Linked DNA regions of Ovis aries. Each later gene encodes a partner of the first gene's protein in a complex. Links are inferred from orthologs where the notes say so. Each region holds a gene or a part of one and is shown on either strand. Other genes may lie near its edges. The genes, in order: RASA1 and ARHGAP35.

Evidence for each region.
Region 2: the proteins of RASA1 (region 1) and ARHGAP35 are in contact, whole or in part, in a crystal structure (PDB 8DGQ), measured with the Homo sapiens proteins. The link is inferred for Ovis aries from reciprocal best matches to the Homo sapiens genes RASA1 and ARHGAP35. Residues at the interface, in NP_002881.1 of Homo sapiens: Arg188, Arg207, Ser209, Arg211, Val217, Asn228, His229, Phe230, Arg231, Ile241, Gly242, Tyr256, Leu262, Leu263, Lys264, Lys358, Ser379, Asp380, Asn381, Ser387, Gln397, Arg398, Phe399, Lys400, Met411, Gly412, Gly413, Arg414, His425, Tyr426; in NP_004482.4 of Homo sapiens: Ser1085, Asp1086, Tyr1087, Ala1088, Glu1089, Pro1090, Met1091, Asp1092, Ala1093, Val1094, Val1095, Arg1098, Glu1100, Asn1103, Ile1104, Tyr1105, Ser1106, Val1107, Pro1108, His1109.

The regions. Positions count from the first base shown.
Region 1 is NC_056058.1:84,551,865-84,556,303, reverse strand, and holds the start of RASA1 (ras GTPase-activating protein 1), read right to left. Parts: upstream 3,004-4,439; 5' UTR 2,809-3,003; coding exon 2,267-2,808; intron 1-2,266. UniProt on the Homo sapiens protein: Inhibitory regulator of the Ras-cyclic AMP pathway. Stimulates the GTPase of normal but not oncogenic Ras p21; this stimulation may be further increased in the presence of NCK1.
Region 2 is NC_056067.1:53,759,710-53,763,514, reverse strand, and holds part of ARHGAP35 (rho GTPase-activating protein 35), read right to left. Parts: coding exon 2,168-3,805; coding exon of another isoform or gene 2,075-2,167; exon of another isoform or gene 1,709-2,074; intron 1-1,708.

The DNA.
Region 1 (4,439 bases):
TTTATTTAAAATTAGGAATTTAGAGAAAACATTTGAATTCCATCTCTAAACCTGCTTCACCTGCTGAAAGCCTTTATAAAGTTAAAATAAAAATTTTGATATAATTAATCATGGTAGACAGACCCGTGGAATTCAAAACATTCTCTCAAATAGCTATTAGCATGGGAGTTCCTATAGAATTGACAAGCAATTTAATGATAAAATTATGTACTATTTGAGCCAATTTACTGAACACTTACTACGTATGAGTTACTGTGCTGAATACATTCAGGGATTTCTCATTAACCTTAAAAAGTATCATATGAGGGCGATAGCATTATTACCCCATTTTACAGATGGGGAACCTGACCTTTGCAAGATCATACAGCTAGTAAGTAGCAGAGTCAGGATTCCAACCCAAATCTTGTCTAACTTCAGATTTTGCACCTTAACCCCTACACTGTATTGCCTCCAGTAAGTCTGGGTTGATATCTAAGATAAAGAAGAGAGGGAAATTTGTACTTCTCGTTGGCAACTTTTAAAAACTATAGTGAAATGGAGGATACTTTTTAGAACATGAACAATTCTCATATACAGAGTTACACAAATAATATTTTTATTCCCAAACACAAATGATGAAAATCTTACAATGGATTTCTCACAAGAATAATTTTTCTTAGGTTCTCATTTATATTTATTAAAAATTTAATTGGAACACTGTGTTTTCTGTTCACTTCTACGGTGAACCTAAAACTGCTCTAACAAATAAATTCTATTTTTAAAAAAATTTAGAACTGCAACACACTAAATATGCCTTATTCAATTTAGTTAAGAACTAACATAAGACTATATTCTTTCATTATGAAAAGCTGAACTTTATCATAACCACAGGGCCCTTAATACTTAAGTAGTTTTGAAAAAGGCTTGAAGATGTGTAAACAGAGCTGTAAATTTTGAATTTTTAATACTTTCAGAACACCTTCAGAGAAGTCTGCAATATGTAGATAAGAAATGATAAGCAGAAATTAAATTAGACAAAAAATTGAACTCATGATGAACAATATAAAAAGAATAAAACTCCCCTGTCCCATGGCTGACATAAGATTAACTTTACTTTTCCATCAAAAGATGTATGTAGCCTTAAGTCAAAAATGCCCTAATTTGTTAAGTCCTTTCTAAATTTTCTAAAGAAGCTTATCCAAAAAAAGAAAAGAAAAAAAAAAAACAGACACAAAAAACACCTTCAACTGTCTAGAGTGATGGTCAACACAGGAATCAAATCTTTCTTCCTCTGATACCTCACCAAGGTTGTCAAAATTCTAAAGGACAATTAAGACAGATATGAGGGATCTATAAAACAAGTTTTGCCTACTGCCCATCAACATGTTCCTCTCAAGATCCAAACCTAAGTTCACTTATGAAGAGAACAAGGGAGAAAGTACTATATATATATGTAAGTCATTTGTCCTGTATATTCTGCAGAAGACTGTCAAAATTAATTTTCAAATAGAATACTGTATTTGCCACCAACAAAAGGTGAAGGGAAGCACAATATTAATTCTAGTTCAATACTGTACTTACAAAGTTTCAACTTACAGAAGAATTATACTAGCATATTAGTAAACGGGAATTCTACTGCACATGTTAAATACTGTGGGAGTACAGGCCCTTAACCACACCAGTAATTAACAGAACTTTCCTTTCTCGCTGACCCACGTTCTCAAAAGCAATCCAAAGTCTTTTCTGCATCGCAGTGCTTTCAACAGCCAGAAGCCGGGAATTGCAGGGCAACAAAAACAAAGCAATCCGACCAAGGCACGTTTCAAACAATACTACCACGATATTCACTCAAATATTCAAAGCTTCTCACTAATTGTCTAGCTTCAACAGGGAATGCAACCAGGTTAATACAGACTACGACTGCCTCGGTAGCTGCAAACTCAGCTGAATCCCAGGACGCCACCTCAATCTGCAAGGGACAGAACCATATCCGGTTCTCCCTGGATACACATTTTCCCATGCTTCCCATCTTGAAAACTTTACATCTTCCCAGAGGAGCAATAAATATACCAAGACGCCAGGGAGTGTGCCTGTAGGGAGGATGAGTGATCAAATTAAATCCGTACGCACGGAACCTTGAGCTTCAGAACTTTTTCTGAACGAGTCACAGCTGAAAACACGAGTCACAGCTGAAAGCACTACGAGTCACAGCTGAAAAGAACTAGACCTGTTTTTCCTATTTCTTTCCAAGGAGTCAGCTTCCCCCAAAACGCCGGTCTTGACTTACTGGTTAGTCGGAGGAGCGGTCAGCGGGATGGCCACCTCTTCCTCCTCGTATTCTGGTCCATCCAGAGAGTCACCTTCGTCCACTGTTCCCAGGCCAGCGCCCAAAGGGGGCAACTGAGGAGGAGGCGGCGGCAGAGGAGGGAATCCGCCGCCGGCCCCGAAGGTCTCAGTGGGCAACGAAGTGGTCCCTTTGGCTTCAGCCATCTCCCCGCCGGGTCCGGCGGCGGCGGCGGCGGCGGCGGCGGCGACACCAGCCACGCCGGCGGCAGCGCCTCCGGCTGACAGTCCGGCTCCCCCCGGGGCCCCCGCCACAGACCCAGGTCCCAGGAAGCCTGACCCCAGAGCGGCTCCGCCACCCAGAGTCGCGGCCACGCCGGCCTCCGCCAGCCCAGGAAAGGGGGCGGCGGCGGCCACGGGCAGGGCCGCGGGGATCTTCACCCGACACACCGCCGGGTAGGCACCCGAGGCCGCGGCCGCGCCGCCTCCCGCTGCCCCGGCGGTGACCGGGCCGCCCTCCTCACCGCCGGCCTCGGCCGCCATCATGTTGAAGCCCGCTTTACGCGGCCCTACCCTGCCCGCCCGGGAGCCCCCAGGGGCCACCAGGCCCGGGCTCCGAGCCGCCCCACCCAGGCGCGTCCCCTCTTCAGCTCCCCGGGCGGAGGAAACAACAACAAAAGGAGAGAGCCCGCTGCCGCCGCGCCCCCTCTCCGGGCCACAGCCCAGGTTCGGGAGCTCCCCGGGTTACGGGAAGAGAAGTGGGCAAAAAACCCCAACGCCTGCACAAACGCCGCCCAAACCTTCACCTTCCACACCCACACTCGCGCGCGCGCGCACACTCACACACACACACACATGCACAGAAGCGAAAAACTTCCTGGCTGCACTAAAGAGGAAGGGAAGCGAGGCGGGGGGGAAAGCGGCTTGAGGCGGCTGCTGCTCCCTCAGCCGCCGCCGCCGCCACCGCTTCTTCACCACCCCAGTTCCGGCCACCCCCACCGCAACCACCGCCGGTGCCGCTGCAGGGGCTGGGGCCACTGCGGCCGCCTCATCCTCCACCGGGCTGAGGCGGGAGGGGTGGGGAGAAAAAGAGGAAGGGGGGCGGGGTAGCGGGGAAATCAACCTAAAGGCTCCCAACCTGGAGCGCTAAGTGACATCGACGAGAGAAAGGAAGGCGGGGCGCGGGAGGAGGGGCGGAGGGAAGGAAGGGCGGGGAAGGAGGGGCGAGAGGGCAGCTTCTGCGCAGGCGCACTCCCCGCGCGGAGGCGGTGGGTTGGGGTGGGGGTGTGGCGTGCTGGGTCTGGAGGAGGGAAAGGAAGACTCTGGAGGGAAGGAAGCGGCGGGGACGCGCGGTGTGCGGCAGCGCTCGCTGTCCCGAGCCGAGGGGAGCGCGTGGAGGCGCGGCCAAGCTAGCAGTCCCGAGCCAGTGGGGAAGCGCGTGGCGGCGCGGCCGCCTCGCCGGTCGGTGTGGCCGGTGGCGCGCGCCTGCCTGACTGGGCTTTGTCTGAGAGACGGGTTAGGCGGCGGAGGGGAGGAGTGGGTCCCCGGCACGCGGCCGCTCAGCGGGGTAAAAACCTGTGAGCGACGAGGAGGGTTTCTTGAAGAGGGAGGGAAAGAGAAGGGGAGATGAGGCAAAGCCAGTTCCTCGCTTCCCGACCGGTAGAGCGGACGCCGTGGCCGGCGGCGCAGAAACCCGACGGCCGAGGCCCGCGGGGGTGGCAGTTGGAGGGGTACCTGCCTGGAGGTCCGAGAGAGTCCTGTTAGTGTTTCCGTTCTCTTTTCATTATATAAATGACTATATGACTATTTCAAGCTAAAAAAAATAAAATGAAAATTTTTTTAATAGATTCTAAGACTCATGCGAAGAGTTCACTCATTGGAAAAGACCCTGATGCTGGGAGGGATTGGGGGCAAGAGGAGAAGGAGACGACAGAGGATGAGATGGCTGGATGGCATCACCGGCTCGATGGACAAGAGTTTGGGTTAACTCCGTAGTTGGTGATAGACAGGGAGGCCTGGCGTGCTGCGATTCATGGGGGTCGCAAAGAGTCAGACACGACTGAGCAGCTGAACTGAAGACTCAGAACGAAATGGATAACTGGGGAGACATATGGGGAGGGCTAAGAATTTTAGAAGAAACAGTGGTTGTGAGTCGGATTTCTGTGACTGTACGCGTT
Region 2 (3,805 bases), on another chromosome or scaffold:
CCCAGGTGTGCAAACAGCCCCCCAATTAGAAGACTGCCAGCATTTCGCTAAGCTGTGCTGGCAACAGTCTTCCCCGGGAGGAGGAGAGGAAAGTCACAGCGTTCAAAATGTTTGGATTCCAGGATCATCACACAGGAGAGCTCCGGGGAAACACTGGCAGGCTGCTCAGGCTACTTTCTGTCTTCTGAAATAACAACTGCTTTCCACTGGCCTGCCCACTACCAGCTTTTAGAGAACAAAAAACTGATGGCAGATGAAGGTTGGCAAAAGTAAAAGCAAAGCATGGGGAGAGCACACAGAAGAATGTCCACGTTATTTATCAACTTTCAGCGCAGAACGGGAGGGGAACAGAACGCACAACGCTACTGCCCTGGCCCTCTGACGCTCAACAGGCCAGAGGGCTCTGGAAGCTCTGGCCAGGGCGACAGAGGAGCAGGCTGTGCGCTCTCCGGGAACAGGCAGGGTGTGGACAGGCTTTCCCTGTGAGGGCCACGGCACCACGCTCCTCCGTCTCCAAGGGCCCTCTCAGCCAATATGAGCTGCAGAACTGGCCACCAGACAGCATTCTACATCAGAACTGTCAGCTCTCAAAACAGCCTGGACTCAAGAGCCCTCTGGTTTGGTCTATCTTGCAATGATGAAAGTTTGGGACAACCTTTCTTCCAAAGCTCCCTGAAACACTTTCAGATACGTGACTTTGTTCTCTGCCATTTCACAGCAGGGAGAGGAGCAAAAGCTTTCAATGAAGAGATACCATCCTGTACACCAGCGGTCCCCAACCTTTTTGGCACCAGGGACTGATTTTGTGTAAGATAATTTTTCCACGGACTGGGAAGGAGGTGGAGATGGTTTCCAGATGATTCACGCACATTACCGTTAGGGTGCACTTTATTTCTAATCCAATGTCGCCGCAGATCTGACGGGAGGTACCAGCTGGCAGCCTGGACACTGGGACCCCTGCATACACAGTGCTGGCGGAGGGCCTGTGTGTAAGAGTTCTGTTGTGGTGTCTCACTGACATGCCTCCTCTGAGAAATAAAGGCTGTTTCCCCTACTCTAACTGGAGGGACAAATAAAGTTGGGAAATGTCAAGCCCACGAGGACAGAGCGCACCGCCCTCTACACTGCACTTCCGCCTGCCGCTGCGCTGGGGGCTGTTTCCTCTGCATCCGGCAGCAGGTCAACCTTTCCCCCTTTCCGCCCCACCTGTGGTCCCTGAATCAAATCTGCAAGTAGTAGCAACTCACTTGAAGAGCTGGAGGGCACTTTGATTTTACAAACATGAGACAGGTTTATAACCTGCAGAGGCAAGATTATTTTTCATTTATGTAACTGAAGACCTTTCAATGATTTACATGCACAAATAAAATAATCATCCAATTTTTCCCTACCTAAAATGCAGCAACCTTTACAGATCATCAAGGGGGAAAAGGAGTATTTAAGAGATGCATGGATGAAATGTTCCTTCCTCAGTCAAAGACTAAGGACCGTGATGCTGGATTCCGGTGTTTCAGTGAAGAAAGGCCGGTTGTCACCGGCTTGGCTGCTTGTCCGGATACTGACAAGTTCTACGTGATCTGCCCATTTCAGTAATTACCTAACTACTGTTTTGGACAGACTTCTCAGGTTCTCTCTCCAAAAAGTCCTTACCACTTGAGAGCTACCAGTAGTAGCTTTCCGAGACACTCTTTACTTACTTTTTTCCAACTTTTTATTTTGTATTGGGACATAGCCAGTTAGCAACGCTGCGATACTTTCAGGTGAACGAGGAAGAAACTCAGCCGCATATACACATGCACCCATTCTTCCCCAAACTCCCCTTCCATCCAGGACGCCACGCAACCTTAAGCAGAGTTCCACGCGCTGCACCGGAATCCTTGTTAGTGATCCGTGTTAAACAGAGCTGTGTGCATGTGTAGATCCCAAGCTCCCTAAATACCCCTTCTATTCTCCAACCGTGAGCTCCTTCCCTGCATCTGTCTCTGTTTCGTAAGTTCATTCGTATCATTTCAACACTGCTTACTTTTTAAGGCAAGTCAAGGAGGAAACACACACAGAGCGGTTTTTAACCAGGCTAAGCTGTCCTTGAAAATCTTTTGTCATCATCAATGAACTCTCCCCAAGACACTGTGCAAGTCACTCCAAGAGCTCTAAAGTCATGTCTTACCTTAGTGTTTCTTCTTAGACTGCGAAGAATATTCCTCCTCCTCGGGTCTTCGTCGGTCTCATATGGAATGACGGCGTTGTCTCCTTTATAACCCTGGGATGCCTGATCCTCCTCTTTCTTTCGGATGGGCCCAAGCTCGTCATCACTCCCCACGCTGAAGCTGGTTCGGTAACTGGCAAACCTCCCCAGCCGGCTGCATCTCGTCCTGTACAGCACTGGCTTGCTCACGATGGATACCTTGCGGCCCCGCTCCAAGGAGCTGGTGTCCATCTCGCTGTCGGAACCATTCCCACTGCCGTTGGACTGGGCTTTGTTGATGTTCCGAATGGTGATGATCTTGCCCTGTGTGCTGTCATGGGGCACCGAGTATATGTTTTCTTCTTCGTTCCTTGGCTTGACCACAGCGTCCATCGGTTCAGCATAATCAGAAGGATCGAACCCATCTGGAGGTAGCCAGGTGCTCGACGAGACGGACTTCCTCTGTCCATCTCTATGGCCCTGGTCTAGGTAAGACAGATCCCCCTTGGTGATTTCAAAATGGACAGGAGGCTTTGGTTTGACTGGCGGAGGTACCTTGTTGTTCAGTTTACTCTCAAAGTTGCTCATGATGAAGGACAGCCCATCATTTCCCTCCAGTTCCATAGAGAGCTTGGAATGGTCTTTGGACAGAGGCGGCAGCGGTGTGTCTTCTCGAAACACGCTGTACGACGGGGTCTCGATGTCCTCCTCTGAGTCCTGCAGGTTGGAGTTGCAGAGTGGGGAGCCTGCCCGGGGGGAGTTAAACACCTCTTCGGTGGTGCTGCAGGCCTCAGCAGCATTGTCGTACATATGCGTAGCCTCAATGATGTTCTTTTTGTCCACCACATCTTTAAAAAAGGGGTGGAAGATCTCAAGTTTATGCTGGGGTTGGCTACAGGGGATACTCGTGAACCTCCCGTCAATTTCTTGAGCTATCTCCTCCCCCTCGGTCAGCTGCTCCCGACTTAAGTCATTATCCAGGACATCTACAGCGCCGTCAGTGAGTGCAACCAGCTGAATGGGGATAATATCCTGCACTTCACAGAGAAAGGCACGTAACATAGCCAAGGAGGCCTTACGTTTGGCTGAGTAAAAAACAATGTACCCATGGACCAATCGGCTTTTTCGGATGCTAAATGAGGAATGGTATGAAAGGATAGACAGTTCGATGCGCTTCTTGTGTAGTCCGATTGGGAGTTCAAGTAAAACAGAGTTGTTGCTTCCACAGTGGGAAGACTTACAGGTCTGGGACTGAAGGACGGGAAAGAGTATGTCGTCTGCACTAAAAGGATCCCCACACATCAGACACATGACAATCCGCAGGTCGACGTCAGCCAGGTCTTTGATGCTAGCGGTGGAACTGACCAGGTTTAAGTTACGCTTGGAGTCCAGGAGACCTTTCAAAACCTGACTGATCTGCTTCTCGTTGATGTTGCGCCCATAACCGATGCCAGCGGAAGCAGGGTCGAGAAAGACACACTGAAGTTTGCTAGCAATCTGCTGACCCTGCTGTATTAAGCTGTGCAGGGTCTCTCCACTGGTGTCTCCTCTTTTGTTAACTAAAATTAAAGTCAGGGGGAGATGGGCTAAGTGATTATCTCGCCGGCCAAGTGTGGACTC